2 linked regions of the Drosophila melanogaster genome follow. The protein of the gene in region 1 purifies or fractionates together with the protein of each later gene. This does not show direct contact. Each region holds a gene or a part of one and is shown on either strand. Other genes may lie near its edges.

What was found. The genes of interacting proteins can lie anywhere in the genome.
Region 2: the proteins of veli (region 1) and vari purify together in Drosophila melanogaster (affinity purification with western blotting, with the first as the bait; one study listed by BioGRID). This does not show direct contact.

What each region holds. Positions count from the first base shown.
Region 1 is NT_033777.3:25,063,338-25,067,348, reverse strand, and holds veli (veli), read left to right. Parts: upstream 1-1,757; 5' UTR 1,758-1,834; coding exon 1,835-1,871; intron 1,872-1,934; coding exon 1,935-2,488; intron 2,489-2,552; coding exon 2,553-2,702; 3' UTR 2,703-2,931; downstream 2,932-4,011. Other genes in the region: Stt3B (catalytic subunit 3B of the oligosaccharyltransferase complex), read left to right, coding at 18-216, 271-342; PQBP1 (Poly-glutamine tract binding protein 1), read right to left, coding at 716-1,347, 1,408-1,471; stac (staccato), read right to left, coding at 3,080-3,171, 3,233-3,414, 3,472-3,641, 3,699-3,959.
Region 2 is NT_033779.5:20,793,632-20,799,182, forward strand, and holds the start of vari (varicose), read right to left. Parts: upstream 3,412-5,551; 5' UTR 3,128-3,411; coding exon 3,022-3,127; intron 2,504-3,021; coding exon 2,406-2,503; intron 1,625-2,405; exon of another isoform or gene 1,377-1,624; intron 1,308-1,376; exon of another isoform or gene 1,175-1,307; intron 516-1,174; exon of another isoform or gene 429-515; intron 1-428.

The sequences.
Region 1 (4,011 bases):
CTAACTGCCTGTTTCAGAGGTCCATCTGGATATGATCGCACACGTAACGCCGTCATTGGGAATAAGGACTTCGATCTGACCTACCTGGAGGAGGCCTACACCACAGAACACTGGCTTGTTCGCATCTATAGGGTGAAGAAGCCGCATGAGTTCAATAGACCATCACTGAAGACCAAGGAGAGAACGATTCCTCCAGCAAACTTCATTTCGAGAAAGGTAGTGTACCCTGCAGCTCCCAATGAACTTCATTAACAATCTGATTCTTTGCAGAACTCTAAGCGTCGCAAGGGCTACATACGAAACCGACCGGTTGTTGTTAAGGGAAAACGAACCTTGAAATAAACCCAAAAAAAAAATAATTGTATTGATCTTTCACCAATATATATAACTTGGTTAAAACACTTTACACATAGCACATAGTTTGGTGAAAGTGTGTCCACCGCATCCTCATGTTGAGGGCTTTAATCGCCGCCTCAAATTCAACTTTCACATACTTCCCGACTCGTGCGACACAATTTTATCGAGTTGCTGCTTTCGTAAAATTTCCGGTTCCTTCGATTTAAATCTGTTCGCGGCTCCACCATTCATTGTCTTAAGCTAGCAATTCAATAAAGCAGAGTGTACATTTTTAAACCTTAATATCTATCATAGTTATTCATTTTTATTTGAACAGTAGCGATCTACAGCTCATAAGTCAAATGGCTAGTTAGTAGTGCTAGTTATCATTACGGCGACGTCGTTGGATTTTTCGTTCCAGGTCCCTGGACTTTTGCTTCTTGGCGGGAACGAATACGTCGGGCTCGTCGGGTTCATTTTGGTTAGAAGACTTGGGCTGAACCATGTTGGTATCGAAGTTGAACTCATCGTTGGAGTTGGCCAGTTGTCTGCGAAACACTGCGGCGCTGTTGGTGATCCGTGCTTTGGGATGCGAAGGAGGTAGCCACGAAACAGTCTGTGTGGTCGAGTTATAGAAGTAAAACGCCTTGCAGCCCTTATCGTAGACATCCTTCCAGCCCGCCTCCAGTGGATACTTCCGCAGCAATCTCTTGTAGCGCTTGAGATACCTATGGCTGGGCTGCGAAAGCGGCGAGCTGTTGAACTTGTTTACGCAGTACAGCGAGCACTTGTGGTATATGTTGTATTTGTTGGGACACAGCTTGTAGCCATGGTAGGACTCGTTCACGCCGATCCGCTCCTTGATGCGGTGCGACCAGAACTTCTCCTCGACGCTCCTGCGCTTGGGCTCCGGCGATGTGTCCTCCTTGTACGGGTAAGGGCCGCTCTTGTCATCGTCATCGTAGTTCTCGGCTATAATCTCTTCTATAGCTTCTGAAATCGGTGCTGCTCCTGTGGAAAGCTGAAGTTGGTTATCCTCTTTTTGGATTCTATACTGGTCTTTGTATTTACCCGACTGTTTGGTCACAAGTCCGCGCTTCTTCAGGCGCTGCAATAGTGCAGCTGGCAGGCTCATTTTGCTATTATTCTATTGTTAGTTTAAATAAATACGGTGCGGAAATAATATCAATATAAAATAATATGACCATGGATGTACGTGCATAAAATACCACACTTTCAAGAAACTTGTTTGTTTCAAAAGATAATTTTTTAAACGAAAAGTACTGAGATTAGATTATAAGTATATGATATATTGTTAAATATAAAAAATATAACTTTTGTTACTATTTTATTAAACCAAATTATTTCAAATAGAGAATATAATTTCACGGAATGGTATTTTGTGCCCCTGAGACGTATGGTCATATTATTTTCAGCTGCTCGAATAATATTTCAGGTCAGCTCAATTTGACTGATTATTATTAAATTGAACAGCAATATGGCCGATAACGCAGAACCACTGACTTTGTCCAGAGGTAAGGGTGCATGCTAACCATTCCCAGTTGGAGGAAACTCACACCCAATGCTCTAACTTTCAGATGTCAAAAGATCGATAGAGCTCTTGGAAAAGCTGCAAGCGAGTGGCGACTTCCCCACGACAAAACTGGCCGCCCTGCAGAAGGTGCTCAACTCGGACTTCATGACCTCCGTGCGGGAGGTGTACGAGCACGTCTACGAGACGGTGGACATCCAGGGCTCCCACGACGTGAGGGCATCCGCCACTGCCAAGGCCACTGTGGCAGCCTTCGCAGCCAGCGAGGGGCACGCTCATCCCAGAGTCGTCGAGCTCCCGAAAACGGAGGAGGGTAAGACACGCCCCTATGAGCTAAGAATCGAGGGGATTCCCCTATATCATAAAACCAATACCTTGATTGTAAAGGTCTATAGACCGAGAATATATGTTTCTATTATACATCTTATATGGAAAGCTTTATCAATCTTTAATTTTTGTTTTTCAGGCTTGGGTTTCAATGTAATGGGGGGCAAGGAGCAAAACTCGCCCATCTATATATCCCGAATAATACCTGGAGGCGTGGCTGACAGGCATGGTGGTCTGAAAAGGGGAGATCAACTTTTGTCTGTGAATGGTGTGGTAAGTCATTAATTCAGTTATGTACCTTAACTCCTTAAGAACTTGCAAAATATCAATATTTCAGTCTGTCGAAGGAGAAAACCACGAGAAGGCCGTAGAGCTATTAAAGCAAGCTGTCGGATCTGTAAAGCTGGTGGTACGCTACACACCAAAGGTTCTCGAGGAAATGGAAATGCGATTTGATAAGCAACGCAACACACGTCGTCGCCAATAAGGCACATCGGCAAAAACTTGTGCCATAGTAGTTTTTGCCATTAGACCATGCTGATATGCACGTATCAAGCCCTTTACGAATAATATAATTTAACACAAATACCATTTATATATTATTTATTACAAAGAAACTCTGGAAAATTACTCTTTAATCGTAAAAAGTGAGTGTTATGTATTTGTAACTAATTACCGCGTTGGTTTTTGTTCCAATAAATGTAATTAAAACTGTCAGACAATGCAAATCTTTTCTTCATAAGTTTCAGTCCATAAATGGGGCCCATTTCAAAACGCAACTTTGTAAATTTTAGTACGATTGCCGTAGAAAATATAAAAATACAGTTTTATTGCTTTTCTTTACAACGTATAACTTTTCACAATTTAGGAGAAGGATCGGTTCTTCAGCTTTTTAAGGAAATCCTTGGCCTGCTTATCACCTAGTCTGTATTCCAAGGCACGCAGTGATTCGGAATCTGAAAGCACATAACATGTATAAGTTTCCAGTTTTAATCTGCCAAAAGTATGATTAGGTACCTGTATACTCTGGTCTGGATAGATTCATCATTATTTGCTCGCCCGGTGGTGTCGCTTCCAGATCTGCGAAAGATATATAGCTCTCTGCTATATACTGGCTCGACATGCCGAATAAATCTTTATCTTTGATGCTAAATACAATAAGACTATTCTTTTCACTTCGCTGGTGGTCACTCAAGTTTCTGCCGAATGAAGGTATATTTATATATGGATGCATAAATTAAAAAGTAACTACTTACATACGAAACTCCTGATCGTAAAGCGGAAAACAACTTTTGTTGTGCACGTTGGTCTTCACAGTGGGTACGTCGTTGAATCGACTTGTGGGCATGAAACTGGCCTTAACAAATGAGTCCACCGAACCATTTGAATCCATTGGCAGCAGATTGCGAGCATTTAAGATATTTAACTATAAGATATTTAACTCATTAAGCGGATTTTATGTTTCAAATGATTGAAGTCCTACCAATAAGCCGGTATCAGTTAACTGAGCCGTGATGGTAAGTTGTCCATATGGAGATGACTCTTGGCTCTTTTGGTTTTCTAGACGCTCCAAGTAATACTGATGAATAAGATCCGATGTCTCCAGGGAATAAAGCCTTAGTCGACTTTGAATTGAAGACAATATTTTTATGTCTGAAGTTTGAAGGTTGCCCATTTTAAAGCAGTCCATCATTGTCTGAAGAGTATTGTTCAAATTTTGGAAGAAAGCTGGTGGTCGGCGTTTCTAAAAAGATAATCAATTTCTTTTTATATTGTTTCATACTTGATAGGTCAGA
Region 2 (5,551 bases), on another chromosome or scaffold:
GAGAGCCACTCTTTTTGAGTTTCATAGTATGGAGTTTGGGGTTTTGGAAATGCCAAAGCATGGCCAAGACAGTTACTGCTTGTTGGCCAGGTTACAAAACAGTTCTCGGCGACTACGTCATCAATTCAAGCTCGGAAAAGCTTTATGCAGCGGGGTTACCAAGGCACTAGCACAACACACTAATAACTGTTCCAGTTTTTCGTTTTTCCGTTTTTACAATAATATTGATCGATTCGTAATTAGCACCTGAAGTGGGCTTATTAATTTTCACACGGAAAATGGTTTATGAACATTGTTGAATTCGAAAGAGAGAGGGCAGAGAGAGCACCAACTAACTGTTGCTTTTCGGTTTCAAGCCGCCCGTTTAAGCCACGCTCACAAACACCACCGTGAAAACACCTATACTACAGTCAGGCACCAATGCTCACTCATTCGAATGGGCCGAAACCAACGAAGCGCGCGTTTCAAACCGGAATGTGAACCTCACCTTAGCACTGTTCGCAACTAACTGACTCACGAGCTATGGAAGCAAGCGGCGAGAGCTAGTGAGCAAGTTAGGGCTAGCTTTGTTTGCTGCTCAGTTCGCTTGCCGCTGGCTTGCCGTGAAAAAAGCTCCGCGTGAGCCAAGTTACAACTGTACGCAGTCTGTTATCCACATGTTAGCTTGTACTTAACAGTGACTTAAAACCAGCAGTGACGCGCCCTCTCTTTCTGTTAATGAAAACCATTTGAAACTGTAGAAAACTTTTTAAAATACAAATATGTACATACTTGGGGTATATCTAAAATATAACAATAACCAACATTAAAATGTTCTGTTAAATGTTATACTGAAATTAAATAATCTGATCTTAGCTTTCCAAATATTATAATTCAAATGTTGCTGAAACATATTTATTTAACTAGCTTTATACTTTGTTCAGTAAAACAGAACCTTAAATAAGTAAGTTTGGCTATAACATGCTTTGCAATGTTTTTACCAACTACTTCAGTGATCTTAACAGCATCTTATAGCAAGCTTTTTCGATCTCCCGACCACAGCTGCATTAGTAGGCCAACGAGCTGGGCGCTTTTTGTGCATCGTTTTCGAGCGCAGGTAGCATAAAAAGCGTAGTGTTTACGTTGGAAAATGTTTCCAAACCGGTTTCCTTATTCACACTCAAATACACACAACTTCTTTGGGGCGTTGATGTCAAAGAGTTGGCACGGCGACTTGCGTCGAGTTTTATGTAATCTGCATAAAATGGGGGAGTGTTCCAAGGAGCGGTGACGACAGGCGAGTTGGGGAAAGGAAAACAGGGGAGCTGGTAGTGACATTTCATATTTTCTTATCTCGTGACTCGTGGCTTAATTACTTTCACTGCCTTTCTCAACAGCCGCCGACCACAGCAGAAAACCACAAACGAATGAGCCTGCCCAGGAAAATGCCTCGGAAAATGTTGGATTCTAATTATGGTCGTCGTCACACGATGTCGCTTTCCATAATATTTGTTGTATTTGGCTTTTCCGTACTGCTAGTTTGGGTCTTAATAATCATTGTTTTACGCCTATTTTTTACATACTATTTAATTCCCCACTTCTTTATTATTCGCCAACAGAATAACTTTACATCTTAGAAAGGGCATCTTCAATTTTGAAAATTAATTTTTAAAAATTAATTAAAATATTTTGTTATTTTTCTTGTATACAGAGCACAACAAATTCGTTTTAATTTTGGTTGTAACTGCCTCTCATTGTTTTTCTAGTTGACCTGCGTGTTTGCCGCAGGAACAGCAAATAATATTTACAATTTGATTAGGCTACAAACTTTTTGGCAGTTCTTTTACCGTAAGAAACCTTCGAGGAGGCGCTAAATGTGTCGGGTCAAGATAATTTCCACTTCAATGGTTATGTCACGATGATCTAATAAAATGCCTCCCATCTGCATAAAGGCAACTCATCTGCCGAGGCAATAGAGGTCAAGTTTAGTGCGAAAACTCAAAAGAGGAAGGCAAAAATAAAATAGCAAGTGCTAATGGGCCATTACGAAGTCAAAAAAAAAAAAAAAAACAATTGCAGTGCATGGCTAAAGCGAGAAAATCTTTTAAAATACAGAAGGATTTTCTTTTCTTTTTGGCGCTTGTGGAGGCAAGGAAAATGATGTAATAAGAAAAGCAAACACACGCACATACAAGCAGCCCGGAAAATTCTATCTAGACCGAAAAATCAGCATGCAATGCCATCGATGAAGTAAACACAAATGTGGAAAGTGTGTGCGTGTGTGTGGCTGGGTATGGAAAATGGGTGGAAAACCGTATGCGCAATTTTCTTATTGAGCAGATGCTCGAAGGCGTTTAAGTGGGTCAGAAATTGTACAGAGATATTTTCTCTCGCCTTTTTACGTTTATATGTTCTGGTCTACTTGCCATCAGTTCCTTGTGGGGCGTGTTGGAGTTACTACGCAGCAATCCCTTGAGGAAGATCTCATCGTGGTCGGATAGGTCAGTCGAGTTGCGAAAGGCGGCTAAAACGGAGCGAAAGTGTTTTAGATTAATCGCAGTCGTTAAATGACAATCGGAAACAGATGAAATGACATTCGTTTTGGCAGCTTAATGCTACCCTTTTCAATTCATACAATTCATACAATGATGGAATTCTAGAGGGAAATATTTAGATATACATGCATCTGATTTTTCGTTTTATAATCATATTCTTTGTTATCGATTTATTGTAAATACATTTAAAGACCGCATATCTTCAAACAGGTTTCAGATTATTCTTAGCTATGAGTACAAATCATTATATTTACTTCAAGCAGGCTTACTGAAATGCAACATAACTCTTGTCTCGTTTCACTTTTTGAATATGAATTGAAATATTTAGTTTGTAAATCTTTTAACTATTTAAACAACTGAAATCTTCAAAATTAAAACTTTATTAACAGAGCCTTAAAGGAAAAAGAAACAACAATAAAATGATAGTTTGGAATTTCGTATGAACTTCGCTTAAAATTCTCCTTTTGAGGACACCCCTGGCACGTACCGTTATCGGAGGTATCGTCCTCGCCATTCACTTTGTTGTTTCTGGCCAATAGCTCCACTTTATCCTGGCGAGCTTGGCGCCGCGACCGCGCGCTCCACCGAACCATTTTGAAGGAACTGGGAGGTGGCCAAAATAACAGACCGAATGAAGTAACCCCGGAGGACAGTCTCGTATTTCGGCCAAAAAAGGGTTATAACCCTTGTGTTTTTTTTCTTAGCCAGCCATATGCTTAGCTACTTGAACAGAACATGTCTTCCAGTGATAATCACTTGTTGTTATTGTTATAAACACAACGCCACGCAAACAACAAAAACAATAGCGCGGCTAAGAATTTCACTCCTCCAACAGCGCAAAAACAACCGACTTGTTTGTGAGAAAGAGGCTAACTAAACTGAAAACCGCTTTTGTTGCAGGTGATGCCAAAATCAAAGCTCCTTAAAACGAGAAAGCTTTTGCAGACAAAAAGTCAAATAACGTGTGCCTATCGGTTTTTAAATATTGTGCTTATCGGCGCCACTTCTTTGTTGGGTCGGTACGGTAAATGTACTTTATGTACGGAGTTCGAAAGCCTGTCATAAAAATGCATTCCACTGTTCTCAGGCCATTTAAATTTAATATTGTTTATTATCTTTAATTTTGCTTGTGATTGCTTTTTCTATAGCTATAACATAGCTAAAAATGGATGGCTTGGGAATCGCTGATGGTTTGTGCCATTGATAAACCGTGCGTTAATATTATAAAAAATTTACTTCGATTTGTACATAAATATGTACTCTAAACTGGACGACCAATAAATGTTCGTTCATATGCCAATTAGAAATCAATTTAATTAAATAGTCTTTAAATTGCTTATGGAACTTTATTTATGCCTTAACAAAACTCTGGGATGCAACAAACTTCGTTACTTCAATAAATATGCAATATTTTATTTCTATTAATCGAAAGGGTAATAGACGTCGACTTGCCATAGATGAAAAAACATCGTTTCTCGCTTGCGGTATTTTTCGAAGTTTCAGCATGCTTCGGTATTTTTCGGCTGAAACGATGCGACAGCTCTTGTTTTCATTCCGTTTTGAGCAGCGTGCGCGTACGGTGCTTTCCTCGCATGAAGAGTAAAAACAAATTAAATACCACTGTGGAATAACATCTCAGCGAACGAGTATACGTCGGAAACCGATTTGTCGCGCTAAGTAACACGAGATGCTTTTGGGATTCAAAAAAACCCATATTTATGTGATGATATATTAATGTAAACCCACTGTTTCGTTTACATTTTCGTTTTTGAATGACTGGCTGCGGAAATAACTATAGATTCGCGAAAGTACACTAAATCAGGCAGTAAAATCGGATTGGCAATCTTGGGAAAAAATCGAAGGAAAAGAGACGCCAGCAGCTTCCTCGGATTGTTTTGTTGTTTTCAGTTCGTTAGTGTGTGGCCGTTTTTCCGCCTGTGTTTGTGCAACAAAGTCAAAGTCGTCGAAGCTGCTGCAAAAATACGTGAAATGCAAATTGTGAAAAAGTTGCAAAAGCAACAACAGCAACTAGCAACAACCAACAACAACGCAACGACAACTATAACCGCAATCACACGGCCAACGCAACAATAACAACGGCCACAACAAAACGGCTTCGCGTGTTTTGAAAAATTGCATTGCAAATTAGTAATTAGCAACAACTAAAACAATAGCAATAAAAAAAAGGAAAATTGCGCGCCAAAATCGAAAGAAACAAAAGGATTACACATAAACAAACCGAAGAAGCAGAAGCAGCTGAGCGAAAGAGAGAGATAGCGAAAAATCAAAACAGAACAGGCAGAAATTCCTGTTTATCCACCTTCACCTCCGGCGACACCCCCCGTCGTGGTGAGTTACTTGTCTTTCGGTATTTGTGCCTTGTATCTTTCTTTTTGGTTCTTGTTTTATCCTCCGTCCGATTTGCTGTATGTCCTGCTGTAAAAAAAATTCGCCAAAAGTGCAAAAGTCAAGGCCCCCGTTTGATTCGCGCCCCTTTGACCATTGTGCGCAAGAAACCCGCAAATGTGCAAAAAATTTAGCTCAGCCATCGAGAGTCCTTGATTTTAGAGGCACAGTGGTTAAATGAGTGCCAAATGGTCGGCATGGTAACAGAAGTTTATTACATTTTTCTATTCTTAAACTGTTTCTTTATATAAACCTCATAAATAAACGCAGTTTTTAAATATATAAATGCCCAGATACGTTTTGAATTGTTTTATATTGAATGCCCTTTGATATAAAATAACACTCAACCTATTGGCAGACTCAGCTGGGAATTGAGCAATTTAAATATATATTTATACATGGAGAAATATGGATTTGAAATTTGCACCTTAACAATATAACAAAGGGTAACACAATGCTGATTAATGCACTGTGACGAAATCGGGGGAAAAAAAACGACTATTCGAATAATATACGCAAATGTCGAATGTAGTCAGGTAGAAAAGTGCCATATTTCGATTTCCAACAACCCTGAACAAGATTACGTGCCTTCTTTCCTGTCACGGGAATTG